Linked DNA regions of Astyanax mexicanus. The protein of the gene in region 3 interacts with the protein of the main gene of each other region in a pairwise test. Links are inferred from orthologs where the notes say so. Each region holds a gene or a part of one and is shown on either strand. Other genes may lie near its edges.

Region 1 (11,092 bases), on a different chromosome or scaffold from region 3:
TTGAAAAACCGACCCACCCACCCAAATAAACAGGAAACAGACACATCACCACCAAGAAACTGGGAAAACAGGATGTCGGAATGTTAAGACTTACTGTTTAAGAAAACTTAGAAGAGGGGGGGGGGGAAATGTCCCTCAACAGACCACTTTCACAAATTCATACTACTGTACCCTTTTTTTTCTTTTTACTACACAAAAAGCTGCTGAGTCACTGTGAATCTGGGGATTAAATTTTAAATAAGAACCATCAACTCACCGGTCATCTCTCTTAATGACATCATCGAAAGCTTGCGATATACTCCTCAGTCTCCGGAGTCCTTTGGATACACAGTCCAGATCTTGATCAAATTGCCTATGATATAAGGGGACACTGATGAAGTGATGCATACATTATACACAACTAAAATGCCCACAGTTAAATTACTCTGATTTTTTAAAGAGCACAAAATACATAGAATCATACAGAAAGTGGATAGTTACAGATTCCAAAACATGCATGTTATTGTATGGTTGTTTTTCATTTGTACATAAGGGGGGAAAAAAGCATTGAATTTTACATTACAGATCAACCTCAGTAAACATTTCTCCCTCTCAATGCAAATAAAAAAAATCTACTGAAAATGGCAAGACAAAGCTTTTTATTGTTAATATACTGCCATCCTTCCTAATGCCACGAGTCAACACAATGGACTATAATATCCAATACTGTGTGCACTTTGTCAAAATTAAATTCAAACCATTTGCACATAAAAAAAACCTATATATTCTATTCCATTAAGTACCATTACTTCCTCCAGTCAATATTCTTTATTTTAACCTTCATATTGGACTGAATAATTTCCTAGTATCTTAATGAAAGCAAATACTGTAGTTCTTTTTTTTCTATCAGCGTTCCAGGTAAAATAAAGGCATTAGTATAAAGGCACCTGTGAACATCAGTGCCTACAGGGCCAAACCATCAAGTTAATGAGACCGAAATAAGGACCGCTGCAACAAAGAGTAGATTTCAACTAATTGAAGTCTCATCGATTCTTCACTGTTGCGACCCAGAAACCAATTAAATCCACCATCTTTAAGGATGAATCAGCTCTTCAAATGCACTCGGAGGAATTGATGAGCGAGGAAATATCCAGAGCAACAATCAAGAAGTGCATTGTGTGTGTACATCTTAATTGCAGTGGGACATGGGACTATGCTAAAAACTCTCTAGCTGCACTGCGCCGTAATTGGATATGGATATTGTATTATGGTATAAAAGCTACCGGCAATCAAAATAAAGATTGAATTTCAATAAAAAAAATGTAAAGAACAATATTAAGAATATTAAGAAGCCTACAATATGAAACACAATAGACATGCATATATTATTTAAATGTTCTGAAGATAGTGTTTAAAAATTTGTTGTACACTACCACCAGTAAAAAAAGCTACTTTGCTTCCTCACATCTTCAGAAGAAGAAATGTAATGTAATGTAAGGACAGGAGATGATGCACATTTAAAGAAATGAGATACACGTCATATGCTTGTCCATTAAAAGGTATACAGGCCACTCACCTCCTGTTAGGTGATGCGAATGGGCTTCTAAGAGCCGCCATGCGTACCAGCTGTCTCCTGCCGCCTTGGGTTCGTACTGCTCTCACAGCAGAACTACTGGCCTCTGGGGTGCGTGCTCCTCGAGGAGTGTGCTTGACTGCAGACCTGGGAGTGCGTCTTGGGGTAACAGCACTGCGAGAAGCCGGGCGTTTAGGGGTGCATGTAGTTGTACAGTCGTTTTCTTCACCTTCGATAATTCTCCCTGGTGTCCGCACCAGACACTCTTCTCGTGATTCTCGGCTTCTCTGAAATTTCTGTGGGTACACAGAAACATGCATTTATAGAATTGGTAAAAAAGTTTAATCCAAACGATAGTCAACACATAAATGTTACTTATGACTAATTTCTTAAACTTACATTTGATGTAGTTACTATACTAAAAACACATACCAATGTAAAATGTTAATTGGATATTTAGGGTTGGTATTGGGACAAGTAGGGGTTTAACATGGGCCTCATCTGGGTTGTACACTACACATGGATCCTACACGTAATAAACCTAAAACACATGATGTGAAAAAAACATCTCGGAACCCAGCTCGCCCTGAAACGTACCTAGCCCAGGTTCCACCCAAATGAGTCCCATATGAGTGTATTAGCGGAGTCTTGGGACACTTTTGGAAAACTGGGCCCAACATTTTATAGTAAAAATCACAACTAAACTAAAACTAAAAATATGTCAGCATTGTTGTTTTTGTATTGTTTTTGTAGCCAGGTTCCCTAACTTTATCCTTTTTTTTTGTTTTAAACTTTCTAGGACATGTGGAAATCCTGGAAACACTACATTGCTGCATGTTTCACAAATGTTGTATTGACCATATGTTCACATTAAAAACACTGAACATACACATATATTCCTAGGGTGGGGTAATATGACAATATTTTATCATATTGTAGTGAATTTGTTATAGTAAATGTTATGCTTTTTCTGAGCATATTGTGGATATCACCAGTACTTAAAGAACATAGGTTTAATTTAATTTGTGGTGTATAACTGGATGACAGGACATTTGGTAGAAGAAAAATAAATAAAATAAAAACCATGTTTAAAGAATCTGTCACTACTAGTGCATTTTGCAAATACTGTTAAATTAAAAATGCCCTAAATATTGTGATGCATTTTTCCACTCACCCAAATTTATTGATATAAATGCATAAAGTGAAATCCCATTTCTTTTTAACTGTGCGTGCTTAAACTTCAAGTTGTGGCTACACATTAGGATCTCATTCCCTCACCTAATAACTTGTTGTCACATATGAACTTGATTTTCTGCAGGATGCAACCTTAGGGTTTCTAAATCTAGCAAAACCAACACTAAGCACTAATACGGCCAAGAGAGTTGAGCTCTTTGAATAGATAATAGTTACTTGGTGTAGTGGAACACTGCCAACCCAGGTAAAACAGAGGGCTAAAAGGCAGTTGTTTAAATGGAAGAGTACCTGATAAGCGCTGCCAATGGAGTTCTTGGCGGAGCGTTTGATCTGAGTCACAGCACTGGTCTTCTTGTTCATCTCGAGGGTCTCCCAGGTGGGATTCTCAGGGACATTGGTGTTGGTCTGGACGGTCTTAAGGGGCAGCCTCTTTCGCAGGGACATCCTGAGAGAGTTGAGGGAGCTGGAGGAGCGGAGCTTGCGGAGGTTCTGCTGAGGAGCTTCAGGAGAGCTGTTCGGCTCCGAGTCCGCCAGGACACTATGAGCCCGCCAAAGACCACTTACCACAGCCGCCATACTGAGAGTCTAACAAAGGGAAGGAGGGGAACCTGGGAAAGGAGGGGACCCAGAAAGAGGAACGTTTGTACATGGGTAAACATTTTAATGTCATATGGGTTAGACATAAGTGTTATAGCTATTAGCTAACTAAAATTCGATAATGTTCTTTAACAAGTTAGTTAATTAGCAGTGCTGGCTAAAACATCTGAGGGGTAAGAAAATAGCTAGCTACATATATAACCTAGCAAACTTACTAACCTAAACTTGCTAGCTAGCTAGCTGACCTATCTAGTGTTAGCTAGTTAAACACTTTAGGCAATTTAATTTTGTTATCATCATTGTGATATCTGTATGTAAATATTTGCAACACAAGAAGGCTATTTTAACCCATTAATTCAAAAAATTTGCAGTGCAGTATACCCTTATGCCTGGGAACACCTTATTTGCTGGTAAAATGTAGCTATGTTAACTAACTACATAGAGCCTTGGATTTGTACATTCCTTTTTGTATGTAGGGTATGCAGGGAATTTGTAATAATAATTTCAAAAAAATCACTTTGTTTAAATAATCTGCCACTTCTAATGCATTTTGCAAATACTATTTACATATTGACCATTTATAAATCAGAGCCTGTAAAGTGACATTGGTCAGTCTAACATTTAGCAGTTTAATTTTCCGACTGTTAATTTTCCGAAATTAGAAAATTGGTCACAAAAACTATTTTTTATAATGTAGTTTGTGTAGATTTTTTCAGTTTACAAGTTGGATTATAACATTAGATGTGTTAAAAGACACATAAAATTAAAAAAAAATTGAAGTTTTAATTTTTCTTGGAACTCTGTTTACAAAAGGCTAAAATAAGAAAACTAAATAATGGAAAAATTGAATAAAAAACATAACTTTACTAAATGTAGGTATGTATGTAATTATGTGTTTTATAGCCAATTTAATTGTTTTAAATTTAGCTTAATACAATCAAAAACTTAAACTGCAAAATTTTACTCAAACAAAGATATCAGGAAAGAGTGCACACTATCAGGAAGACTAACGTTAGGTATTCAGAACACTGGTAAAAGAAAATAATGGCTAAATTAGCTTACCTAGCTAATGAAGATTTTGATCTTACCATTATCTCAATGTTTTATTATTTACTCACAAAAATCAATACAATGGTTCTGTATTACACTAGCTAGCTAGCTAACCTTCGTGTGTAATCCTGTGTAGAGTGAAATCAGATAAGTTAGCTAAGTTAGCTAGGTTAGCTTACTAACAAGATTGATACGCATTACACCGGGACCTGTGCTAACTTAGCTAGGTTAGCTGGCATAGAAAAAAAAAACCTAAGTTAGCTAAGGTTAGTAAGATACCCCAGCCTGGATTTGAACGTTATATACTGATCCTCAGCCTTAACCTGTTTCCCTGACAAACATCTTCCTATAAAAGACTCACTGCAGATAAAAACCCAGCTAAAAAAGGATAAAGACCGATATCTTACCGTTGTGTGTTTCTGCAGGGTTTTAGCACCGGACCGACCGCAGCCCTTTCTCTCCGTGTTTCACTGTTTGAATTTGGCGGACCGCCCTTAAACAATATGCAGGAGCACCACAAGCCCCGCCTCCTGATCCTTGTATTGGCCAATTTACCCAACACTCTCTTCAACGATTGGTATATTTCACCTCATATGTCCCTCCCTCCACTTCTGATTGGTCTATTATTCCGTCATGCTGCGATTAAAACCAGACAACAAGCCAAATAGGCCGAATAAAGGTGATGCTCCAATGCTCTGCATTGTTGCATTCATCCCAACAGGCGCTGTATTGTTATGCTAAACGGACTGTTTCCTTTTTTATTCACACAGCCAGTAACTTTGTAACTGCTGAAATTAACAGCTGCAACTAAAATACAAAGAAAATGCACACAATATGAGTAGTAGTACTTGAAAAAACATTAATTCAGTTTTTAAAAAACAAAAAAAATGTGGTGTTTATGAAACAATGTAGTTTTTTTCTCTTTGTATTGAGAAATGCCCCACTAAAAATGCATTTCTAAAACAATACACAAACTTTTTCACCATTTAATAAATAACACTGTTAGATTTAAAATGAACAATTAATATATGTGGTGTTACTAATAGATAGAACTAACAAGTTTTTGAGTATGTTGCTAGCTAACATGTAATATAGAGTATAATAATATATCCATGAGTTTTTTAAATGAGGTATGCATTATTATCCTACAGAGCAATGCAAAATAGTAGTCGAGCTACTCATACCTAGAACAGTTATTCACAATGGTTGATAATACTGCAAGTACAGCAGCAATGGTGGCTGGCGAACAAAACACCACACAAAACATTTGTGTTTTAACAGCAACTTTTAAGGTTTTATTCACTTTGGAGCATTTCTATTAGTCCATACTTCATTTAATTTTGGCATAATGTAAAGTACAACTGCCAGATTCAAAGGATGTCAAAGTGAATTACATAAAAAATGGAGATACAAGATTTTTTTTTTTTTGCCAGACAGTGATTTACAGACATTTACAGTACACATTCAAATTTACAGTGACCCCTTCCTTTAGTTCGTATTGAGGAAAACCTTTCACCTGGCCTTGAGAATTCGTAATTGTTAGAATTTTAATAGGTTTATATTGCCATGACATTGAGATACCAGGCTGTAAACGTGCCAGGTGTGGCAGCGTCTCCTTTTTACTCAGCAGCAGTCAATGTATAACACCTTTTTAACGAGCCTCAGGGAGCAATTGCACAATGTAATTAGCATTTAGATCTGCATTTTACAAGTGTAAAGAAAGGTCTCTACAAAACTTTATGGTTTACTTTATTCAAATACTTCTATCAAATGACAAGTTCCAAAAATGCAGGACTTGATGCAGACAGTAATGGTGTGTTTTTAAATTAATTTTATTTACATGTGTAGAGTTTCATATGAGAAGTTTTGTTTGGAGATTGTTGTTATGCAGTAGCATTCCAGTAGGGCAGGCCTGTGGTTCAGTTCAGCAACAGTACTTTGAATCCCAAAGGTGATGGTCACTAATGGTGGATTCTTTTAAAGCACTGTGGAGGGAAAAGAGACACGTTTTGTTCTGTGAGAGAATGGTAGAATCAGAGAGAAACATATTAAACAGGGCAAATTGGTGTTTTGAATAATGTTTTTTTTTTTTGTAATTTGTAATGTGTTTTGATCATTAAATGCTGCTTCTTACACTGCATCCATTAACTGCATTAATCAATAAAATATGAAATCGGCTCCAGGGTGCCAACACATTTGTACAACACTAGATTTGAGGCCGAAATGTGTTACCTTCATAACCCTCTGCCATCTGGAAATGACAGCTAGCAGCATTGTAAGGAGCACGACCACAATGCCAGCAATTGTGGGCCACAGGGGGAACTTCATTACTTTATCTGTTAGGAGAAACAAGCCAGTATATTGTACTCAGTGAATCTTCAAACTTGCTGCATTTTTTTAAGTCTCCAAAGTTCAATATATATATTAAGCATAAGAATATTTTAGTAGTCTCTACTTTTGAGTTCTCTTGGAATATTTCAGTTGCATTGCATTTGTACACCCCTTGTTTAATACATTGCACTTAAAAAAATAAGCGCCAGAACATTTTTTTTTTAGCAGTGTGTATTTATTCATATTTACTTGTCGTTTTAAATTACATTTGACAGTGAAATATTATCACAATTTAAGTATTTTAGATTAGTATATATTTGTAATTTGCAATTAGTATTCTAAAAGCTTAGTATTCTAAAATCTAAAAGCTTTCAAAATGCATACATTTCACTTATACAGAATTTTGTTATGAAGTCATATTTCTATTCTTGTCATCTTAATATAACAAAGTGCCAAGGGAAAAAGGAAAGTACTAAAAAAATAATGGGCAAAACCTTTTTTTATTCTTTAAGTAAATCGTCTATTGCTTCATTGCTTGCTTAACTTAATCTTGTAATTTGTTTGCTTTGGAGAAATAAAAATGGATAAACTTGTGTTTTTATGAAAACGCAACCACAGTGAGGTTATCCATACAAAGACGTTTGAAAATTAAATTGAATTGCATTGAATTTAATCAAACTTAAAATTAGTACCTATATCTCATGCTTAAACTATTAAAACTGGCCATACAAGGAAACCTCTATATAAAAACAGGAATATGACGTTACCAGTAATTAAACCTACCTATAAAATCAGTGGAGGACACTGGGACATAAAAAAAACACTATAAACTGCGGAGAAATTGGCACACTCTGGTAGCGCTATCATTCCTAGACAGCCTGCTGAGAGAGGGTGAATAGGCAGTTTTGGAAATTATGAGGATTACTTTAAGGACACACGAACCTCCAACGATGAGGATGAAGGTTTTGCTCTTTAGTCCGTAGGTGGGTGAAGTTGCCTCACAGCTGTACTGGCCCTGGTGTGAACTGCGCTTGATGTTGTAGATGGACAGCTTGGCGGTGACGCCATCATTGCTGGTGTGGTAGGTACTGGTGGAAAGATCTAGCACAGCATCATCTTTCTTCCAGATTACAGCTACTGGAGGAAAGGCCTGAACATTACAGGACAGAACAGCATCACTTTCCTCTTCAACATGCATTTCCTCACTGCCGTTCAGATCTGGGGGATCTGAAAGAAAGAGATTTCACAAATAATAGATTTGTCAATGATTAATAAGCATTAGAACAAACTTGTTCAAATAAAAAAGTGTATTTACTAACAGCAGGAGACAGTGGGATACAACCTAACATATGGTTTCTGCTACTACTTGAGCACAGATGGGGTTAACTGTAATGGGGGAGGTGGGGGGGGGGTCATTTTAACAGCTGTCTAACATTCAGTATAATCTGCGTTGTTTATAGTAGAGCTTTCCAAACTGAAAATACAGAAAGGTTTACCAGATTTCTCCAGAAATCAATAACCCAACATGTAATAATGATAATAATGCACTCTGTGTATCAAAGACTAGAATAAAATAAAGGATTTTGGGCAGATATATTCTATATTTGGTACGTATGTCATTATAAATGAGGACAGTGGGGTTTTTCTTTGTATCAATTAAGTTATAGAATGAATGCATAGTTAAATTACAAATACTTTGAAATAACAATGTTAAAACAGTAGTTTAACATGTAGTTTTTGTCTTATTGATTAATTACTGTTTACCCAAAACCTTGTTTTACTGCTATTCATGCAGCGTGGATATTGTGCTTGAATTTAATTTTACAGTAATTTAACTAATAGGTGTTACCTAAACAAACAACTTAATAATAGTAATTATTTTCATATGAATGTAGTTTTTTGTTATATTTAACATGTATGATAACAGAAACAACAGAAATGTATTCACATCTATCAAGTAGTCCAGTGTCAGAATACTGAAGAGTACAGGCCGGTGAACAGAGGATAAGAAACTCATATTGTTCTCCATTTACAGATACAACAGGTACATAAGTAAATTGTTGTGCTGTAGATAAAAGGTAGATAAAACTGTAGATGTATTGTAACCCCCCTTCTTGTGCCACTCTTCCCCTGAACTTACAGCTGACCTCCAGATGGATGGAGGCTTTCAGGCTAGCATTAGCCTTAAGCTGGCAGGTGAAGATGGCTCCATTGTCCTCTGTGGTAACAGGCTCCACACACAGATGACTCTCTTCCATACGGTTCTCATCTGTGAGGCTCACTAGTCGTTTGTTGCGGTACCACTCCAGTTCACCTCCATCTGCAAGACCCTCAACCATGCAGCTCAGAGACACCGTCTGATCCACTTCTGTCTTAATGATGCTCCCATCTGCTGCTGGATTGGACTGAATTAAGACTGGTGAATTTGAATAAAGCACAAATTAGACAAAAAAGGCAAACAGTGGATAGGACTGAATCATAAACCATGATCAAACAGATGTCTGTAGTTTGAAATACAATGCAAATAGTGAGACAATGTTGATGAAATGTTATCATGTCATAGTTTTCTATGCTATGCCTTCTTTTTAGCTATTTATATGATAAACGAAATGAACATACTGTACTTGTGCTTGAATGCATTTTCTTGGTGAAGATTTGAATCTTTGTGTTTCATTTAAATTTTCTGAACATCTAGCATCTATAAGCAAAAGAACTGAAGTTTATTAGACTCTGTTCTTCTATTTTTCTACACTCTTAGTCTAACATTTAATGAAAGCCCCAGAATCCAGAGATATGACCAATCACAGAGCTGTACAGATCTGTGTATCCATTGGTCATCCAAGTAATACAAGGAAATTAGGTACATTGCTGTTTATGAAGATTATGTTCCTCTATGTTTATAGATACATGTACTAACTGGCCACCTCTGTCTTTTTTGGGCCATATATCATATGTTATATTATTAATGTGGTTTATTCATTTTATTACTATATTTTGATTCATTGTTTTGAGTAGCATTGGTTATCAATTCATTTGTATTGTATGCTCACATTTGGCGTATACTGGAGTTTGTGTTCAGATTTTAACCCTTCTTTTTAGTCAACACGCAAGCTAATGATCAAACCCGTTTCGTGCTGAATCAGGAAAAAGCTGCTTCTCCCTGGTTAGGGGTTTAGAAAAAGTGCTGTAAATGATTTAGCCCATCCTCAGTTATTATGGTTTTAGCCCCTTTTCTTTTCAATTATGCACACTGTATATTTATAAAAAATAATCACATATATTACAAACATAGGGAAGTAGAGATGTCAACCTGTTAATTGATCAAAATCCTGGGTCCAGTCTAAGATAAGTTGATTGGTAGTCTGATTTATGAATATGAATATTTTATACTTATTTGACTGTCATACAAAATGTACAGTACTTATAAAAATTAAAAACAAATCAGCTTCAGAAGGTGTTTCTGATGTTAACTCATACACTAAGCTGAACCTGTGCAACAATATCCAATATAAAAAGCTCTAACTTCTAGCAGTTAATCAGTAAAAAAGGTATGATGGAGGGGAAACAATGTGGTCAAAGGGAAGCTCAAAAATAAAGCATTAAGGTAATAGAGGTGGCTGGTAAGTACTATGACTATACTTTAACTACTGTACTACTTAGAAGTTTGAAATCTTAGAATTTGTTATTTTTTCTTATGTTACATTTAATGAGAAAAGTTATTGTTGCAGTTACATTATTATTGTATAGTTACAAATAGCTTTTTGGGCTTAATTTCTTTATTTTATACTAGTCATCAGTAAATTCACAGTATCTGATTTGTAATCACTTTGACTCTTTGATCACTTTGAAGTTTAAAGGGTTATCTATTTATTTTAGAGAAACTGTAACGCAGAACAAGAAGAATAACGTCTAATAAACTATATTTCCTGTTCTGGTAGATGCTGGATGTAAGAAAAAGCTTCACTGTAAATTTACATTAACAACAGGTTATTGAAGTCATTTTTTTATATTTGAATATAAATCTTCCAATGTAAATGCATATTTTCAACAGTAGAAATATAAATACAGTAACATATGAATTTGTATACTAAGCTTTATACTAGTACTTTAAGCTGTTTTAAATAAGTACATTCTGTATTTCTCACCGTCAGTACAGTGGATACAGCAGGTGCAGAGGAGTAGATGTAGGAGCAGATGGATACAAACTGAAAGCTTCATTTTCTACTCACTTCTTTGTCGTCCTGAATAAAACACCAAAGGAATGTGATAAAAGAGACACTTTTTTCATGTTTCACTTTACAGTCATCTTCCATAAAAATCTTCATTTATCTAAGCAGACGGTTGATTAAATAAACGTTATTTTCTTTC
Region 2 (11,074 bases), on a different chromosome or scaffold from region 3:
ATATAGATACATGAGTCCAGCAGCAAATATTGGCGTCATATACAGTGCTCCTGCACAGTGTATTTGACTAATACTGCCATCTTTTGTCACATTATTTCATTGCAGTATAGTTTTGTAAAGCATAAACTGTTAAAGTACAGGAGGAAATGTACATTATTTATTTTTTGATTGTCAGTATCACTGTAAGTAAAACAAGAAGATTACAATACTGTGTGTGAAACGTGTTAAATTGTGATGGTGGTGATTACTGGCTTATGTGTGTCAAAATATTTTTGCTTTATCAGAAATAAGATTAATGGCTTCAGTTTAAAGTTGTGTTTATGCTTTTCCATTGACTAAAATTGTACATGGAGCTATACTGGAGCACTTCTATCATATTTTAGTTTTGTATGCATTTTTAATTTGTTTCTCATACCCATTCATTGACATTATCATGAACATGCAAATAAAAAGTTTATCAGTTATTTAATTAACCATTTGTTCACCTTAAGCTTTCTCAGTGGCCATGTGTGGCTGCTGGGCTTCACTCCAACTAAACAGAAGCAAACATGATTAATTGTTGAAGATTAAAATAAATATATATCTTCCATTTGTCTTTTTCGGTAAAATCAGTTGTTTTCTTTACTACTATAAGTTATTTTATTTTAACTGCCTTCATGAAGTGAGAAATATTATTGTAAATAAAGAAGAAATTGTTGATATATGCTTATTTCTTGGAAGGGCTCAGTTAAACAAGTAGAACCATGTGTGTTACGCCTAGTTAGGAATAAAAAACATGCAGGAACACCAGTCTCTTGTGGATACAAACAACTCAAAAAAAAAAAAAAAAGAGTTCTGATACAAAACAGATAATGAGATCCAGATGACAGAATACAGTCAGCCTTGTTGAATGTAAAACCACACTTATGTTAAGAGATTTTAACAAGCAGGACAAAAACATGTTGAAATATCGGGCTAGACTTAAAACCACCGAACTATGATCTGCAAACTGAGAACCCTTGCCCTTGAACCACTGGTGAATCTTCACAGGTGCAATCGGCCTGACAAAATTTTCTCAACAGCTGTAACTCATGTAAAAGCTTCAAGTACATTATTCAAATAACTGCAGGTCTCTCTGGGCTTAGCTAAGGTTAGTTTTAATGACTTCACAGAAAGAAAAGAATGAGGCAAAAGTGATGTTCAAGGAAGAGCAGCAAATAAAAGTTACAATTAAACAAAGCATCAAACAAAATCTTTGGAATTAATTTAATGCATAGACCAATTTTATGTGTAATTAAAAAACAAAAAAAAACAGTGTTCCCCTTATACGAGCTTTATGCTAACTCTGCATTCACACATGTAAAAATACATGCACTTGTATGCATCATTTTATGCCATAATATTAAATTATGTTAGATACAGCTAATGACAGCAGAAAAGGGAATCTAAGAGCCAGAATGGTATCTGTGTTTTATGCCCAAACAAAAAACACATAAAACCTGATTATCATTACATAGCCAACCAGCATTGTTGCTAATTGTTGATGCAAAGTGTTGGGATAAAAACGTCCATTAGCCTTGTAGCCTAAATTTAACACAAGGTGTCTTGGCTAATTAACTACATTTGGGGAAAAGTTGTATTTTAAGCAGGCAAACTTCATAAACTCAGTATGATAATGGTAGTTATTTGTCAACAAAAATAAAAATACTTTACATATTTTTATGTTTTATATTTTATTTTAAGTCTAAAACAAAGATGTTGAACAAGTGGAATCAAGTTGTGCTTTGGAATCAAAACCTACAGGTCACGCTGAGAATAATTCTAGAGCCCATATGGGAGCTGTGATGATGGAACATGACTGGTACCTCCTCAATATACTGCAGGTCTGGATTAGCTGAGATGTTGCTTTGAGGTTCCTCCTGTAAATCAGCCTCTGGAGCAAATGCTTGGATAGGTACTTCTGGCTCACTCGCCCCCTCATCCTCTCCAGCACTGCCGCCTTCTGGTCGACGCATGATCTGCATAAACAAGCACATGGGGAAAGTCATTCGCAGTTTACTGACCCTTACTGATTATAGACAGCTGGCTGCCTCTTATATAGATTCTCTCTACATTCAAGATTCAAGAGTTTTACTGTCATATGCACAGCAGAAACAAGCAGTTACGCTGATAAATACAATTCTTACGTTGCAGTTCCTTGCAGTACACTGCCTGGGCAAAAATTTGGTTGGAACGCCTTTAGCTTTGATTGCGACACACATTCGCTGTAGCATTGTTTCAATAAGCTTCTGCAATGTCACAAGATTTATTTCAATCCAGTGTTGCATTCATTTTTCACCAAGATCTTGCATTGATGATGGGAGGGTCTGAGTATTATCTCATGCTCCCTGAACCACTCTTTCACAAATCCAGCCCCGTTAATACTGGCATATTTCATCTTGGAATATGCCCGTGTTCATCAGGGAAGAAATAAATTGATGGAATAACCTGGTCTATATTCAGTTTATTCAGGTAGTCAGTTGACCTCATTCTTTCAGCACATACTGTTGCTGAACCTAAACCTGACCAACTGCAGAACCCCCAGATCATTTGCTTAGTTAAATACACATTGAAGTACAAATAACAGTAAAGCTAATTAAAGAAAAACACTATTAAATTAAAAAATACGTTGTGTGAGTAAAGTGCATATGCATGTGTAAAGTGTTGTGAGTACAAAAAAAGAAAAGAGTAAACATTGTTGGTACAGCAGCAGCAGCAATGTCTCATTAAATAGTGGAAAAAAGGTGCATTTGTTATTGTTTCTGATTCAACCCACTCTGAGAAAAAAGGAAATTATTCTAAGAATATGTTGTTGTTTTTTTTATTCTCTTATCTTGATCTATATTTTGATAGCTAGTGGAGCGCTCAGCTCTTTTTTTTGTTGTTTAATGTTTTAATGGTTTCAATGTAACTAAAATGTACAGGAAAAAAATAATACGAATCAATCTAAACAAACAAACAAACCTAAAACATTTGTTGATAGCACACCAAGGATAATAAGCACACATGTTTTAAGCTATGAAGATTCTATAAAATAAATACAGCAATCATTACAAAAGTATAAAAAAAACTACTTAATATATAGGTTACCAGTCAGATTTAAATATTCTAGTTACTGCCTGGTTCCACATTTCATAGCATCATTTGATATTTTGCCTTCTTTAAATGTATTGAAAAAGTATTTAATGGAAAATGTTTATTGGAACGAGTGTCCAATACTGAAAGTATTGGACACTCGTTCCAATAAACATTTTCCATTAAATACTTTTTCAATACAGTTAAAGAAGGCAAAAGTGTCTCTTTCCATTAAAGTAGTTAAAATAGTTTTCTTACTAACTAGTTTACCTACGCTCTTAGCTTAGCTACTTGCACCCTTGTGCAAGTAAGTATACTTAAGAGCAATAAAGTATGTTCAAATTGGGTAAAAAATACTAAAAGTGCATTTTCAATTTCAAATACTTTATAAAAAATATATATTAAATATACTTTCTCTGTATTTACATAAAATGTATTTTTAAGCAATGCTTTAAATGATGTGTTGATTGAAAAATATATATATATATATATATCAAGTCAAGTCAAGTAGTTTTATTGTCAATACTGCATATGTACAGGACATACAGAGAATTGAAATGACGTTACTCTCCTTCCCAATTTTACAGCAAGTACAGATAATAGATATAATAAAGGAAAATGGGAGACACTATGTGTACAATACAGCAGGGACACAAATAGACATACATGAGACAAAAACAAGGTGCAGTGGTGTGGGGGAGGAATAGATATATAAATATAAGTAAATAAGTAAAAAAAAAAAAAAATTATATATATATATATATATATATATATATATATATATATATATATATATATATATATATATATATATATATATAATGGCATTGAATACTGCTTAAAGAGCACTTTAGTGTATTTTTTCCAGTAGCATTAAGATGTACACATTATGTGCATCAATACGCACAGTAGTACACTTACAATATACTTCAAGTGTATTAAAAAAGGTGTTAAAACTTAAGTTGCTTCAATCTACTTTAGTTCACAGAAGTAAAAGCACTCAAAAGCACAATTTAATGCTTTTACGTTGTGCTTAAATATAACGTTACCTTAATTACAACTGAAATATATTTAACTTAAGTTACCTTAAGTTGTTCAAAAATAGTACATTTGGTATTTATTTAAGTACATATTTTAATTTGGAAAAGTATGTACTTTTCCAGGTTAAGCATATTTTTAAAATATACTTAATATACTTTACTTTTACAAGTGTAGGTAACTACCTGCATGGCCTTTATTTGTTTTAAATTGACAATTAGGGAAAACAGTGACAAACTATTAGAGAATTTGTCATATTTATTCACACACTCACACACACTTAAACAACCCACAACACAACCCAGCTGTTTACTCTCGTTAACTGAGTTGAAAAACGCGGTGTGGGTAAAGTTCATTTAACAGGCAACTCAGCTAATTAACATAGCTAACTAGCTTAATGAACTAGTTTATGTTATTTAACTAACAAGTAATAGTTAGCTAGCTAACAAACCAAACCTAGTGATTAGCTAACCTAGCTAAGCTAACTAACTTAGCTCGGTTAGTTACAGTTAACGTTACATTTATTGTTGCTTCTTAGTTACGCTAAATAAGTGCCTTCGACTTACCGTCTCTCCAGAATAGGTTTTCTGCTTCACGGTAAAAAAAAAAAAAAAAAACACAATAAAGCTACACACCTCCACAGGAAGATAAATCTGTTTAAAGCTCGCTGTTATAAAGCGCTTCACTAAAACAGTGAAACTATTAAATCTCAGTTTGAGCTCTGTTGATCAGGAGGCTGCCGCTGTCTCCATACCAACCGCTCGAGACTGTAGATACAGCTCTCTCCACTAGAGGCCGCCAGAAGAGCATCAGTAGATCCAGAGGACATGCAAGAGATAAATGACTGATTGAAAAAACAGACACTCTGATGTGCTTAACACCACAATCCATATAGTCAAAGCTTAAATCTAACAAAATATGTGATTTCACCACAATATCTACATCGAGATATTTGCTCCATCGAGTTTTCAGATGGGAGAAGAAGTGTGAACGCTGGCATTTGGTTTTGGATGATCATGCAGATCTTGTTTGTACACAGATTCAAATGACAGTGATGGGCCACATCAGTGCCAATAATAGGACCAGGAGGGGATAAACATGAACCCCAGCTGGGTTTTACACTGCACACAGGGAGCCTACAGGGTATTTAAGGTGGTATGTAAAACACAGTAAAACATATGTACAAACCAGTACCAGTAAAAACATATGTGCACGCAATGAGGTAGAATGCAAGATATATACTAACATGTTTGCCTGTTTTACCTCGTGTTTGCCTGTATTATCCCATGTTTGCCTGTATTGCCCTGTGTTTGTCTGCATTACCCTGTGTTTACCTATATTACCCTCTTGTTTGCCTGTTTGACCCCGTGTTTGCCTGTATTATCCCACGTTTTCCTAGCTAGGTTAGCTAGTTATAACATAAATTAAAGTTAGGTTCGCTAGTTATGATTTATAAATAAAGCTAGGTTAGCTAGTTATAACATATATTAAAGCTAGGTTAGCTAGTTATAAGTTATAAATTAAAGTTAGGTTAGCATGTTATAAATTAAACCTAGGTTAGCTAGCTATAACTTGTCAACATTGCTGCTAATGCTTTAGAAAAATGTTTAAAGAACTAAGGTTTCCAGAATTATATATTTATGTAGTTACATAATGTTCACTAGGCTTTTTAGAGTTGGGCTAGCAGCATTAGCAGCACTTTTCACCGGACTTGGAGAGTCGGGCTAGCCCCAGCTAGCTAGCATTAGCAAGGTTAGCTAATGTTGGCTAAAACCTTAACACTTTACGATATTAGTGATGTACCCCTCTATGCAGTTGCTGTATCCTGCTCTTGTTAATAAACATCCCTCTTCAGCCCTTTTTCTAGATGGTTCATGGTTAAACGTGGTTATAGCTGAAGATATGTGGTCCACACCATTGTTGAGTGTGGACTTACTTCTACTTCCTCCCATCAAAGCCTCACTTTCAATTAAAAATGGCGGCTGCATGAAAAGAGCAAATGGGTTCCACGTTGGTCCCACATATGGATGTCAGTAATGGGCTCCATCAGGGCCAGTGATGAAATGAGGAGGGGTTAAACATGAACTCTTGTAGAATGAACTCTGCACATGAGGCCCAGATGGGACCCATGTTTGATTAAGGTGGGCTGTAATGATAAGGCCCATATGGGGAAGCCTAACTGGGTCCCAGTAAAAAGTTATGTATAAATACACTCCTGCCACCCTGCAAGCCCTACATTCCTCCTCACTGGTAAACTACAGAAATATACTGGTTTCATCCCTGACTATACCTAAGGTGTCCTCTAGGGGCCAGAACTAGCCCATTTTGTAAAATAACTCCCAGCATAACATCATAAACCAATGAGTTTTTACTGCTACAGTGATAAGAGAATTGTCCATATCAATAAACCCTTCTGTTTTTCTCCTTCTGCTTATCGGTAACAAAACAATATCATCTGCCAAATCTCAAAGCCTTCTGTCTCTCCACAAGCCAAGCCACAAGTCAGACCTCCCTTTATTTTAGTACACTACCCTTTAATTTAGTTTTTCCAAGTCCTGTCCCTCATTTTCCATTTCCTAAACCAAAGTATATCTTCATTTAATTGTTACCTCCTTATTGCAGCTTTGTTTGGCGAGCTCACCAAACTGCCTTGATCATATCCTTTTTATGTACTGTGACCTTTCACCCTTGCACATATCTGTTTCCTATCCTGTTTATTAGTGCCAGATCATGTAGAAAACTGACTATAAGTTTCTTCATATTACTCAAGGATGTGTCCTGACCTATACCTTGGAACTCATCCATGAATGAATTCCATCCTGTCTTCTATTCATCTTCTCTGCTGGTGTCTCCACAGTCCTGAACATAATCAGTTCCTCTCTTCAGCTCATCAGGAAAATGCCATGCAAATGTTTATGAGCAGAACTTTATAGTTGCCATATGTTTTGCAAAGATGACTGTTTCGCATACTTTGTACTCAAGAGAATGTCTGTCAGAAGTTCCAGCCATTCTTAAATCAGGAACTTTTTTTTTTAATGGCAAGTTACTTTAGCAGTTAGCTGGCTTCGTATCTTATGTGAACAGGATGTATGTGGACCCTAAAAAAAACTTAAAATGTCTTAAAAAAAAGATTAGAATTGTTGATCTATGGTTTGGTTTAGTTTCACATATTGCATTATACAGGTTCCAAATTTGAAATGCAAGTTGATTGAGATACTTGCTGATTTAACGGCAGACTAACACAGAAAAAAACAGCATCATTTATAGTCCAGAGAGCTAATATTTTCATTAAGGTTTATTACTTTTTAGCTAGTGTTGACAGTACTGTAGGCATGGAGAAAACCGTAAGCATGGGGGTTAGATAACCCCAATTTTAAAGTGGACCTTACTTTTAGTTTATGAACTCTCTGCGCAAGACACGTCGCAATGCTTATTGCTATCTTAAGGCCTCAGCATATTTCTTGTGGATACAATGTTTTCTTGGCTTCAGCTAATAATGTCACAAGCAATGGAAACAGATGTCAACAGTCAGACGTTCATTGCTATCTTGGTAGGCTTCTAATTCACTCACTTTCTCACTGACTCGCTCATGTTTAACAGGTTGCACATGCTCCACTAGGGGGCACTCTGAGTGGTCTTATCATTTTTTGCTGCTTTGCATCAGCAACACTGTGTGTCCTTGCTGTAGAATATAAAGCAACAATTGTAAAATGAGAAATTGTGTTTGGATTTTGTCAGCCGTTTTACACATGTATGCTCTGATCCAGGAACTTCCATCAAGCTAATGAAAATGTCTTTTTGTTTTTTAGGAAAAAAGCAAAAAACAACAAAAATGTGTACCACATTACATCATGAGTTTGGTACACGAGCCGTGATGAGAAAACATCTGTGGTTTTATGAATCAGTGCATGCAGTGAAAAGTGGCACCGTACCCCTCTCAGAGACAAAGTTTTACGAGCATGTGGGAGATTCTGTCTCTGAAGCCTGACCAGAACAGCCCCCAGCAGTGACCTGCTTACGGTAACTCCGAAAACAGCTGAGAAACAGAACTAGAGAGAGAGAGAGAAGAGAGAGAGCGTGAGAGAGACATAAATGCATGATAAATAGAACAAAATTGGTTCTTAGAGAATAGAGACATTGGCAAATAAATAACAAATGTGAGCCAAATATATGAGACATTAGACAGTAGAATGTCTATGCTATAGGTCTCATGGGTTTTTTGGACTGATTCCACTAAAGAGCTTTCTTTCAGAGCTACACAAATAGTTCTTTAAAGAAATACTTCAGCAGTTCTTAACCTAATCTCCATCTGCTGCATCTGTAACATACAGTTGTAATCAACATTATACAACATCCATTGCAAATTATAGGCTTATTAGCTAAATGTACAAGATTTTAGCTTTTTGCGATAAACATGTCAAACAAATACAATTTAAAAGCTTAGCACAACTAATATGACCAGTTGTTTCTCCAAATTTAGCCCAAAATGCCACTTAAACTAAATTATCTTTAAAAATCCACATATGGATATGTCATGACATGGAAGGGGCTTGTCCTCAGCACACTGGAAAAGAAGGCTTGATTGACTTTCCAGACTGTCTGGCTTCCTAAACCATCCTAAACACAGAGTAGAGGATATGTACAGTAATGCCACATGTTTTTAAAAATACATAAAGACTTGACACGATTCATAGCTAAACAGAGCAATATTTAGTTTAAAATGTAGACAGATAGATCACACAATTTGTCACAAAATGTCACAACAATAAATGTCTAAAATATTACATGTACTAAGACATTTCAGTTTTTTGGTGGAATAATAAAAAAAAAAAAGGAAGTTTTTGTTTAGTCACAGAGGTTTGTTCTCATTTGTCAACGAATAGAAAGCACAAATATATTAAACCTTTTTAAAACCCCTGAAGAAGATCATAAAATATTTAGATTTCTGTGAATGTCTCATATTGTTACGACCCGGTCTAGAATCATGTCGTAACAAGTAATGAGAGTGGGCTCTCTCCCCAAACCTTCTGACACTGTGTAAATGCATGAACCAGAATTTTTTTATTGACTTATTGAAATGTGGCTTTAGGGGTGAGCAAAGGTCAAAATAACAAATCAAGCCAACTAATGAAAAAAATTGTTAAAAATACTTATGTTCTGTTACGTCCCAAACCTACCAACAATCCAAGCTGTTGACAAGGTGATGCAGAGAAAAGATTAGATTGTAAAACCCCAAAAAAGGATTTTTATAGAGGACCAAATAGAGCTTCTTTAGAAAACCATAGGTGTCACTTTTGTAATATCACTCCTTTTGAATAGTGTACTGGATTTACCAATGGCTGCAACTGTAATACATTGGACTGGTGTTTTTTTAAGATACACACTTAATGAGAAGAGTAAATGGTAAAATCTAGAATTAAAAATGGATATTAAAAGTAAAGCATGTGTAGACACTCTAAAATAGTACTTGTGTGTGTAAAAGACAAAGATGGGTGGTAGAAAACCAGCTGAAAAGATTGTGGTGGAACAATTGCTGAGCACTGGCCACTGTGTCTGTGGGGGTAGATGGAAGAAATTACCCACGTCTAATGCTGCCAGCATCAAGAGTCTTATGGAAGAGCAGAGGAAAAAAATTCATGTGAAATTTATACAAAAGTACAAAATTATCTCAGACCACAGTGCTGTTATCCTCCATAGCAGTGTTGCTCAACCCAGACCTTAGAGACTGTCAACAGTTTAAATCTATGCCAGCGCTGAACATGTTTCAACCCACTGACCACAGAGAAAATTCTCAGGCCAGCCACTGAACACTGAATTAATTTAACTCAGATGTGCACATAAGTCATATTCCATGTGACTAAAAAACTGTAGTCTAAATCAACAAGTCAACAACCAGAATTTTTGTATTTTATCATTATACATTTTATTCATATTTAAATCATGTATTGCAATTAAGCTAATTCAATGCATCTCTTTTTCAGTGCATGTAAACACAGAAGGTTTGGGAACACCTGCTCATACAGCTCTGGAAAAAAAGAGAACACTTAAAAATGATGAGTTTCTTTGATTTTACCAAATTGAAAAAATATTTTTTTGGTACCCCTTTAAAATAAGACTACATTTATAAAGGGTTTATAAATGGTATACAATTTGTTTATTAATGGTTACTAATTAGGTTGTAAATGCCTTAAAATAATTAATAATCAATTATAACACAAACAAACTTTAGAAAGGTTGTCTTATTTTACAGGGGACAAAGGGGACAAAGTACTCAAATGAATAATATCAGTGTCCTGGTGCGAATGCATGCTGGAATTATATATTCTCACCAGAGAATAACTTACACCCCCTAAAACTTACAGAATATTGATTTGGAAGTTCTTTATACTGCTACATCTCTATTATAAAAATGGTCCTATATGGAACCAAACGTGGTTCTTCTGTGGTATTGCCCAAAAAAACTATTTAAACACAGTATAGGTAAGCCAAATTTAGTTTAGCCCTTTCGTGCAGTGATCACTACAGTGGACAGCTATTCAACCCTTTCAGAACTGAATTATGTTCTAGTGATCCTAATATAAAAAAATTCAATTACCTAAAATATTAAAGTTTTGGTCTAAATCAAATAAAATTAGTAGCCCTTACATTGCCGCGTTGGCTTTAATGCTGCCATGCCCTAATGTCAGAGTTGTTGTTTTTCCTGTGCAGTGGGTGAGGCTAAGATCATTTTTATTTGCTAATAAAAATGTAATGTAATTGTAATGTAATGTAAATATGTCAAATTGAATTAAACAATGTCCAGTGTAATAGTCGCAAGGTCTGAAAGGGTTAAAAGTCACTAATTTCTATGGGCACTGGTTTGGAGGACGATGGTTGATAGAAGGTGAAAAAGTCCATCAGGTTCTGGATGGACTTACCTACACATCTCTGTAGGTAATATTTG
Region 3 (10,348 bases):
AAATAATCATAATAAAAAGATGTAACTTGCCACGATGATTAGTGGCCCAAAAAAATCTCTGTGCCACCCCGACAAAGTTCACCAAACATCTGGCTCAGACACACCAGTCTATTCTGGCTGGCAGTGCTAAACCATTTTTCAGACCAGCTCGATAAGAGAATCACTGATAAGAGAATCAGCTCTGGTTTATATGAGCAGTACAGCTGTAATAATGAGTGTAGGCAAAGTGAGCCAGAATAGTGCTGACTAATGCTACTAATTCTGATATATTGAAACAGTACAGCAATATGCTTTGCAATACTCTATCAATTTTCAAAAACACAGTATTGGTTTTTAACCATTAGTTTAGATGTAAAGAATAATGTCAGACAGTGGGTTAGCTCTTTTATGACTTTTTTTTATTACCACACATTTATAAATGCCTTTCTCTGGTTTTACTTTCAGTAACTATAATACATTTTTTATTATACTTTTGTTTTAACCTATTCATCATAAGACTTTTTCAATTGGTCTTCAATACTTTGTGCAAGACCTCTGAATGTGCATTACATTGTAAAGGGTTTATAAATAGTTTAGAAATGTTATTTATTAGGTTATAACCCATCAATAAGCAGTTACAACACATAAATAAAGAGGGCAACTGTGGCCTGTCGTGTACCACATTCATTTATACTGTTCCCTACTGGAAGCTCATCATTACCATTTCTGTTAATAACTTTATTTATTCAACTTAAATAACATGAAATGACTAAACTGACTTTCTATATTATTTTATTAGACATGTTAAAAAAGTTATTTTCATCCCTCTATGTGTGTGTTGTGAGTGCTTATTAATGCTTTAAAGTATTTACAACTTAATTTATAACCATTAATAAACTTCTTTATAAACTATTTATAAACCCTTTATAAAGGAGTCTTATTTTAAAGTGGTACCCAAAAAGAAGTAATCCCACAATAGATAATTCATGTTTTTAAAAAAAAACGTACCCTGGGCTGATTTCTCTCGTGATATCAGCGAGGTCGTCTAGTTGAGTAACGCTGTGAGGTGTGTCGACTTTTCCATTTTTATTAACAGCGCTGGATAATTTCCGCAGACATGCTCCAGAAGCCTTAATGAGACCCAGACATTTAGAAATGAGCTGCCGGTCACTCTGGGACCAGTAGGTGTCTTGGTTTCCACGGGCATCAAGGTCATCTTCATCATCATCCAGGACATCATTGAAAGGGTCCTGTTCCTCAGATAGTGCCTACAGGAAGAACACAAAGGATGGGAATAGTTTTTAGACGTATAGTTATTAGATTTAGAGTCTACAGGACTCTGCACTTTGCACGAATGCTCTACCAGAAATTGGCTACCCACCTGGTTCATCTCCTCTAGCGCATCCTTCACCATTCCAACATATGAACTCAATACATGTAACACTGCAGTGCGATTATCTGTTGGGAAAACGGACAAGGAAATTCTACATACAGATTTCTAAGTTAAGAATTTAATGAAATTAAAGGTCATACACACAATTGTTCAGAAAGCAAACACCTGAAGGTAAAAAAACAGTGTTTAAATTTATTTTCAAGGCATTAATAAAAGCCATTAACGTAGCCCAACTTACCCCTTGGCAGCTGAGCAAACTGATCACATGCTGCCCAGACACCTCCTGTAGATGTTAGCTGTTCCTGAGATAAACTAGAACAAACAAATAAGCAAATAAGTAAATATATCAAGTTATTTTATTATGTAAATTAAATACGGTGAAAATTCTAAGTAGGATTCATTAAGATCATTATCTAAATGTAATGTAATGTAATACAACAACAATTATTATCAGAGATGAACAATAAGATGTATTGCCTTGAAATTAGACCATTTTAAATACCTCTGTAAAGGAGAAGACAGGAGGATCTCCAGCAGCTGAACAACACCATCCAAAACTTCCACAGTGGCTTCTCTGACAAGCTTACGCAGAGTAATGCCTGTATAAAACCAAATTCCATATATACATATTTGGACCATGATGCAATTTCTGCAGTTTTGTGTCTAAGTGTAACCTCAATGGATTTAAGGGTTTAAAGCTTTGATTCAAAGGGTTTAACAAAAATATTGCATTTGCTGTTTAGGAAAGGTCTTGAGTTGATTATTGAGTTAAGTGTTGAATTTCTATTTTGTAGTTAGAATTCAAAGCCTAGAGAAAACCCACTGCTAGAGGTCACAGGTAATACTGAATTATTCACTTACTCAATTATTCCTCTAAGGTACCGGTATGTGTCTTGAATACAAATCACACAGTTAAAATGCCACGATTTCTTGGTTAACAGGCAATAATAAAACATAACTTAAATATCTGATTTTATCATGTTTGCCTTGAAATCTATGTAGAATGTTGTGTTTAGTTAGACAGGAAAATTAGTGATTAGAATGAGCAACTTACCTTCACTCTTAGGCAGCCAGTAATAAATTGTAGATAACGCCAGAATGCTCTTCTGAATGGACTCTGCTAACACTTCACAATCCTTGAATGAGACCAGAGAGTCATTGTTATTCAAAATATATAATAGAGGGTTTTTACTGTATTTTAATATCACAGGGCAGTTTTGATGCTTTTTAAATAATAATATTTTAATGTAACTGAGTTTGACTGGGATGTTTGACTGGGATGTTCTAAGTTATGCTAACCTAAGTTTTTATTGCCCATTACTTAACTTTTTTAAGGCAACCGGTTTCCTCAATTTTTTTGAAGTAAATTCAACTTATCCGTGCTTACAGTGTATATTTTATGTATGTATTGATCTGAATCTATTTTGTTTTTTGCATTTGTGAATAGATTCAGAATCATCCACATCTAAATCAAGATGCATATAAGAATCTAAAAATTTGCCACCCCTATAGCACATGGTGGCAATAGCCTGACGTACTTGCTCTGATGGAAGTGGGGGTTTGGAGAAGGCTAGACTGAGTTTTGTAGCTTCTTGTGAAGTAGCCTTTACTGTCTGAGCTGTGGAGTAGAGAAAAACACATATTTCAGTTGGATTATTCCTTAGACAAGCCACAAACCAAAATATATTTTTAGTAAATGTGAACATGAGGACACTCAACTCATCGTTTCCCAGAAGTTTGGTAAGTTAAAGTCCCCGTTAGACTCATTTGATTCTCCATCTGAAAACAAAACAACAAAAGAACTATTAGCTAACATCTAATAGCACTACATCAGTGATACACAGTACTAACAACACATTAATCAGTGAATTGATAGCAAGTGCATTTGTTTCAATCCCAAATACTAAGATTTCACATTTTAACAAAATCTGTTGCTTGCTATACTGTTTAGTCAAGGATTTTGTCTAGTTAGGACTCTAAGAACAGTAAAGACACATGGAAAGGCAGTATTGAATAGACTGGATGAATAGACAAGAATGATAATATTTGGAATTCAGAAATGTGAGGAACAAGTTAAGTTACTTAAAACAGTGGTGAATGATATGAAGTAATGTAGAGGCAATTGTTTCTATAAATTACTTAAGTTTGTCAATTACTAAGAGTATTGCTACTGAATGGTTTGTGTAACGTTACTTATTCCACTATCGCTGTCACATACTGTGACTTTCCCAGTGCTTCTAAGTCCTTATCATGTCAAAACATGCTGTGATACCAGCCCAACTCAGTAAACATAGCCAGTTAGCTACGTAGCTAGATACAGAGTGTTATTCCCAGATGGCTAGTGCTAACTTAGCTAGCTAGCTAGCTAACTAACAGTCTTAAGATAACACGTTTAAATATCCAGTATAGCTAGGTTAGTTATAGTTAACTTTAATGGTTTGGCCGTTATACAGTCTCTTCTACCAACACGATTAATTTACACTAACTTGACAACTTTAGCGTTAGCTAATTTAGCTAAACTGGCTAACCAAGCTGCGTTAGGGTAAGTTATTTCTGACAGCTGAAGGGATAGTTAGCTAGCGTTAGCTACGCTAAGCTAGCTGTTTCCCAGGGCTGTTTACATTACTTTTAGCACACCAGTAATCAGATATATTAACGGAAACTCCGCCGCTCTTACCTCTTACCCGATCTCTAATACATTTTACTGCGTTTAATAAGTTCCGTAGCGGCAGTAAAGAATCTCCACACGAGTTTTCAGCGCTCATAACTGCAGCTGAATCCATGCAGGTAAACTACAGGCGGAACTAAAACACTGGCTACTTCCGGTTAGTTTCCGTCGGAATGTGTTCATGAGGGGCTCCTGTATGTATTTGAATACTGCCTACTCCTGTATGTATTTAAAATTATATATTAAAAATTATTGCAGAATAACTTAACATATATAAAAATGTAGGCCATAAGTTATGTGAATCACCTGCAATAATATATGTGAATAATATATAATATATATAATTTATTTATAAATTTGAAAATGTATGAATCCTATTTTTTGTTTATCTGAAAATTATTTTGGATTTGTATTATGTACAGCACATTTCACCAACTAAAAAATCCCAAAACATAAAAAAGATTAAAATTTAGAATTAAGCCATTAAATACAAAACTTTTAAGCTCTATATAATTCTTCTCAGATTCCGTGAATGTTTACAGCCCATAATATTACATAATTCATTATACATTATACATAATAAAAAAAGTTTGGACACATCTTACTTGTAGTGGTATTTCATTATTTAAAAATTCTGCATTGTATATTAATACTAAAGAAAAACAAAACAAAATATGTTTTATGTTTTAGATTCTTTAAAGTAGACACTTGCTTGGAATGAGAAAAGTGCTCAAACTTTTCACTGGTACTGTACAATTAATGTACGTTTTAAAGAACGTGACAGTTTTTAAATAAATTATCCATTTTGTTAGGTGAACACAAATCAAGATCCTGAACAGACATGTCTCCCTCATCACAGAAAGCTTCAAAATCATTGAACATGAGTAAATTTATATAAAACTTCTTCTTTTGCAGCCATGCTTTCTCAATGTCTTGAAAAAAAATTCTAAATGTCCCTGGAAAATATCTGGTTTAGATGCATTCATTTTCTGCATTAAAGCCACTGGCACCTGTAATGTTCCAGTAGTATTGTACTGCACCATTTACTCATAAATAGAGATATATAATACATTAAATCAATTTAATCAATGTAGGAGAAGTAAGCCAGTAAACCAGAGTCCAGGGGCTCAAACAATGGTCAAAGATGTTTCACCAGTCTTCAGTTCAAACACATTGTAACAGCGAACTTTGTCACACCCCCTGGAACAGACTGAACCTTCCGACAGCCCCCTCCCATTCACTCTGTCAACAACACCACAAAGAGACTGCGTGACAAGAAGAATAATACCAAGACTTACACTACAGAACACACAACACAGTACTGTACCAACCTTAACACAGACCTCAACATCCAGTTCCAGATAACTGAGATAAGGGATTATCAGCTCATTTTTGGATTGAAAATGACTAATAACGATTCTTTCCCCATGTTTAACAGTTCTGTAAAAGGAGACTTTACATAATGGTAGATAACACCATTATCTAATGTCCAATAAACATTGCTCACTTGCTCCACCAGAACTGTGCAGTGTGTCTTTGCTATCGTAACAACAGGAAAAGTATGCCAAAAGGCATGTGCTAATTTTCTTAATTATTCAGGTGTGTGTTTTGGGTGTAACGTGAAATAATCCATTCACCATGTCACTTCCATTCCCTTTAAGAGCCAGGTGTGCTCTGTCTTTGGTGGATAACTATTTTAATGGCGTAGGGCTTCTGAACTTCTCAGCAGATGAAGCTGATCTGCTTGTTCATTCTGTGAAGGTGCTCAGGTAATTTACGGGAACAGCAATGTTTAGTTTTTTTTAGGTAAAATTTGGGTTTGTGCACTACTGCGTGTGTTGTGTGTATGCGCAACGTCCCTGCAATGCCAAGATAGCAATGAACGTCTGACAGTTAGTTGACTGTTGTCAGGGTTCAACTCAGTCAGTGGCGCACCTGTGTTTTCCATATCTAAGAAATATACCTAAACCCACCTCAATTCTACCTGACTTGCTATTTAAATGGCACAGGGGCAAGGCGTGAAAATAGAATACACTAATTTGGTACAAAAGCAGAAGGCATACAAATCTTTGAGGAGCAAAGATGGGCAGAAGATGTTCAGTTTGTCACAAATGTGTGAGAATTATTGAAATGTTTATAAACATTGTATAAACAAGTAGCTGATATCATGGTCAAATGCAGGCAATTCTGTGTTGTATCTTCATTTTATTTTATTTTTTAAGATTTTAATCAGTAAGAAAAAGGGAAAAAAGTTTCATAATGCTACTTATGCCAGAACAAAGGCTTAAATCCACACAGACTGTTTGTGGACAAATAATGGAACACTGAGGTAAAAGATAACAGATTTTATCTGTATTATGTAGCCTTGGTTGTCTGTGCAAAGATGGCTGTTGCTCAGCCGATAGAGCAGAACTAAGTAATTGTTTAAACCAAGAAGTTTATGATGTGATTTGCAAATTGGCCATTTGTTCCTCCCACCGGATCTATTTTTTAAAACCGAGCTCTCAAAGTTCTTTTAGACAAATAACCTCTATATAGATAAACAACCCCCAGGCTCAATGGTTTGAGCTCTACGTGACAATAACAACCCTGTGAAAGAGGTTATCAGGTCTGATGCTGTCAATGTTTAAAGCCCTTGTCTCTACAAAGCTGTGAATGGACGTCAATGGGCAATATAGTTTCTGAGCATATGAATGTATTCTATATAGAATATTAGAGCCCTTCCTTCCTTCTTTCCTTTATACTACACTATATCTATTTTTTTAAAAATAGAAAACTTTTATATATTAAAAAACTAAATTTTGCTTATATAGACTTATTACTACCTCACCTGGTCTTTTTTGCACACTGCAAAATTTGCACACTGTCTTGTTATTTATTATTCTTTGTCTGTATTGTGTTGTATTGTCTGTCTGCACTTTTGTACTGTTGCACTATTGTTCTGTCTACACTGTGTTTATGTGCACCATGGTCCTTGGAGGAACGTTGTTTCGTTTCACTGTGTACTCTGTATATAGCTGAAATGACAATAAAAACCACTTTGACTTTGACTTTGACTTTGACTTGTTTATTCAAATAAAAAAATAAAATAACTTACAATAGAAATAGAAATAACTAAACAATGAACTAAATAATAATTCAATAAATAAGATAACAGACTCATTTGTACAATAATCTTTTTCTTGTTTTAAGTTTTACTTGTGTGTTTTGTTTATGCCTCATTCAAGCTAATCTGTTGGCAGGTTGCACGTTTAGCTAATCTATAATGATCTGTTGTGAACTCTGCTGGTTAAAGCACTACTATAGCGAGTAATTAATGAGGTAATAATCAATGTCCTCTTTTCTTAATGGGTAAACATGAGTATTTTGCATCAGCAAACCTTTGAAATGTGTGGTAAAGGTTATTAGGGCTAGGGTGAACTACACCATTTTAACCGAATTAATAATTCCTACAGGAAAGTCCATCAGGCTTTTAAAAATTAATAGGAATGTGCTCTTCTACAGCGTGTGCATGTGCTCTTCTACAGCGTTCCTAATCAGTGGTGGTGATAAGATGTCCCCAAGGGTTTGTAATGTTTTCAAAAACAAACTCATTCAAAGTTGCTAAATGATTGTTTTTCAGCTGTTTTGAGATGTTACATTTTAAAGTTTTAGATTTTAACCTTTTTCAATATTGCATTTAAAAACAAGATCTAAACTTCATGACAGGATTATGCAAAAATCAGGCATTTAACTGATTTCTATGACCATAAAACTCTACAATAACCAGTGCTGTTATCTCTGGATCTCTCTGTACTCTGTTTTAGTGACTTTAGTTTTTATCAATGGGTCGTTTATCAGGTGGAACAGACAGTATACTGTGCAGAACCTTTTGAATAGACAAACATTACACACGTTCTGTAGTTTTAGCTCTGTATTCCCTGCACCATACATTTTTTAAGGAACCAAAGGCCAAAATGTTAGTATTTTATGTGTAAATCACCACTAATAAACATGGGGGCTCTGCGTGATTTAGCAGACTAAGGCAGTGACAGTACGATCAGGAGATTGTACTGGTTCAAATCCTGGTCCTGGAACTTGCCATCAGCTGCCGGAGCCCCGAGAGAGCACAATTGTCATCACTGATGGAAGGACAAATCCAGAATTATATTATATATTATAGCAAATTATGGCAAATTCTGAAAGTGCAATGTCAAGACATCTATCCATGAGCTGAATCTCAAGAGAACGTGGATCATGCAGCATGACAATGGGCCACAAAAGCCACAAAAGTTGTTCAACCAAAGAATTGTTTAAGAAGAATAAAGTTAATATTGACCTCTTGCATGGTCACGTCTACTATATTGTACTGTGTTCCTACTCCTGAGGGTGTTCAGTGACTTGGACATTTTTTAATCTATCTCCTGATTGAATTTTGCAATAATCTTGCATGGAGTTTACTTTTGTCTTCATGAATTTTAATCAGGAATACTGATTAACCTGTGACTGGACCTACCAGACAGGAGACTTTATTCTACAATCACCTATCTTTTACACATTTACTGCACTGATGTACTTTTTTCACTCTGAATAAAATATTCACTAAAATAATTTCATGCTCCTGTGCTGAATTAGAATAATCAGGCAAAAACATATGCAGCATGCCCTTTTTAAGCACTTTTCACTTATTCTGGTACAGACGTATCTGTCTGGTATGTACCGTCTGTCTGCACACATAACCATAACCCTACTAACCTGTAACCAGCCTTTCTGTTTTATGGTTTATCAGTAGATGGAGCATTCTCTACCTATGTGGCTTATGTTTGTGGTGTATTCTTTTCCTAACTTAAATCTCATAATATTATAACTTTGTTCCTATAATATTGCGACTTTAATATTGTAATATTACAACTTTAATCTTGTAATATTACGAGTTTATTCTTAAAGTCAACTGTTTTTTTTTAAGTGTGGCCCTAAAACACTGTCATATCCTACACTACCTGCACTTTACTTGTTTTAAATTAAGTTTTATTATATGTAGACTGCATACAGATACATTTATTTTCAAACAAATGTGAGACTTGATGTTTTTAATGAACAGTAATTCTATTTTCTTTTATTTAATTTTTCTTTTAGTCTGAGATGAATAAAAACATAAAACCAGTCATGCTGATATCATATTTAAAATATTTAAAATATACATTTTAAAATGAATTATATATTTTTTTTTTTTTGCAGTGCAGGGCAGTTCATATAACTTTAACCCTGTTCTCTATAAGTTCAGATAGAACCTTGCTCTACAGCTCCCAGGTTATCTTTAAATTCCAATTAAACTTCGGGTTTCAACCAAACAACTGGCGCAAGTGCACAGCGTATCACGTTTAACAATCGTCAGCAGAACTGCAGCAACCTTCGGCTCTGCGCTGCGGGGACGAGCCTCCGACCAGCCTCCCAATCAATACCGACCATCCAGCACGTCATCCGGTGACGCTCCGGGGAGAACTCTTGCATCATAAGCTAATATGGGTCAAAGTTTTACAATGAATCGGAGGAGCTGCATGAAGTGAACGTACTCTCATGTATTTCCCTTCTGAGAGAACAAAGTGACCTGTGAAATTATTAACTCAGACATGCAGGGTTAATCTTTTACTTCTTGCATGTTTTTTTTCTTCTTTTTTTTTTTTTACATCATTTGGGTGTAATCTGGCACATGGCTGCCCCCTCCCCCCAATTTACTCCAAGCATATAAAAAGACAGCAGCACTGGATGAAAAGCATCACGAAAACTTGAGAAGAGCTCGAGAACTTGAGAATGAGTGAATGAAACTTCGCTGAATCAGCTAAAGCTTCAGCTTCATAGGAAAAAGATAAAAAGGTAATATTCAATCAATTATTATTTATGACTGTATTTGATTGTATATGAGTTTATATATTTTTATAATAGTATAATTGAATGGTTATTGCTATGCATTGCTGAGAATATTAGTTTTTTTCTGTCTGCTGATAATTTAGACCTGATAATAGAATTTAATGCTGATTATTCTCTCTTTTCTTTCAAGACTCTGACCGGTGAGACCTGTTGCACTGTTTCGTATTCCTCCTCAGCCTAAACTCTATAGATCCCTGGCACCATGCCCCCTCAGCTGCAGTCCCAGAACCAGTCATGCCCCCGGGTCCTTCAGGGGGACCTGAACTCTCTGAGTCCCGCTCTCAGAGAGTTCATAGAAAGCAGCATGACTCTGTGCCAGCCGGATGCCCTGCATATTTGCGATGGATCAGAAGAGGAGAACAAGGCCATTCTGGCTCACCTGCAGGAGCAGGGCATGATCA

What was found.
Region 1: the proteins of ccndbp1 (region 3) and uncharacterized protein LOC103039245 interact in binary tests that used the Homo sapiens proteins (3 or more experiments, as listed by UniProt). The two-hybrid records come from large-scale screens. The link is inferred for Astyanax mexicanus from reciprocal best matches to the Homo sapiens genes CCNDBP1 and PIMREG.
Region 2: the proteins of ccndbp1 (region 3) and ccdc146 interact in binary tests that used the Homo sapiens proteins (3 or more experiments, as listed by UniProt). The two-hybrid records come from large-scale screens. The link is inferred for Astyanax mexicanus from reciprocal best matches to the Homo sapiens genes CCNDBP1 and CCDC146.

The regions. Positions count from the first base shown.
Region 1 is NC_064424.1:13,213,679-13,224,770, forward strand, and holds the start of uncharacterized protein LOC103039245, read right to left. Parts: upstream 4,906-11,092; 5' UTR 4,801-4,905; intron 3,355-4,800; 5' UTR 3,323-3,354; coding exon 3,035-3,322; intron 1,849-3,034; coding exon 1,556-1,848; intron 353-1,555; coding exon 257-352; intron 1-256. Other genes in the region: tmigd1 (transmembrane and immunoglobulin domain-containing protein 1), read right to left, coding at 6,318-6,407, 6,626-6,729, 7,667-7,951, 8,865-9,140, 10,870-10,942. UniProt on the Homo sapiens protein: During mitosis, may play a role in the control of metaphase-to-anaphase transition.
Region 2 is NC_064409.1:35,911,563-35,922,636, reverse strand, and holds the start of ccdc146 (coiled-coil domain-containing protein 146), read right to left. Parts: upstream 4,906-11,074; 5' UTR 4,698-4,905; intron 1,998-4,697; 5' UTR 1,995-1,997; coding exon 1,845-1,994; intron 700-1,844; exon of another isoform or gene 1-699. UniProt on the Homo sapiens protein: Essential for sperm flagellum biogenesis and male fertility.
Region 3 is NC_064412.1:55,152,822-55,163,169, forward strand, and holds the start of ccndbp1 (cyclin-D1-binding protein 1 homolog), read right to left. Parts: upstream 4,222-10,348; 5' UTR 4,156-4,221; coding exon 4,050-4,155; intron 3,152-4,049; coding exon 3,092-3,151; intron 2,991-3,091; coding exon 2,911-2,990; intron 2,509-2,910; coding exon 2,427-2,508; intron 1,972-2,426; coding exon 1,875-1,971; intron 1,685-1,874; coding exon 1,611-1,684; intron 1,438-1,610; coding exon 1,361-1,437; intron 1,248-1,360; coding exon 988-1,247; intron 1-987. Other genes in the region: pck1 (phosphoenolpyruvate carboxykinase, cytosolic [GTP]), read left to right, coding at 10,150-10,348. UniProt on the Homo sapiens protein: May negatively regulate cell cycle progression. May act at least in part via inhibition of the cyclin-D1/CDK4 complex, thereby preventing phosphorylation of RB1 and blocking E2F-dependent transcription.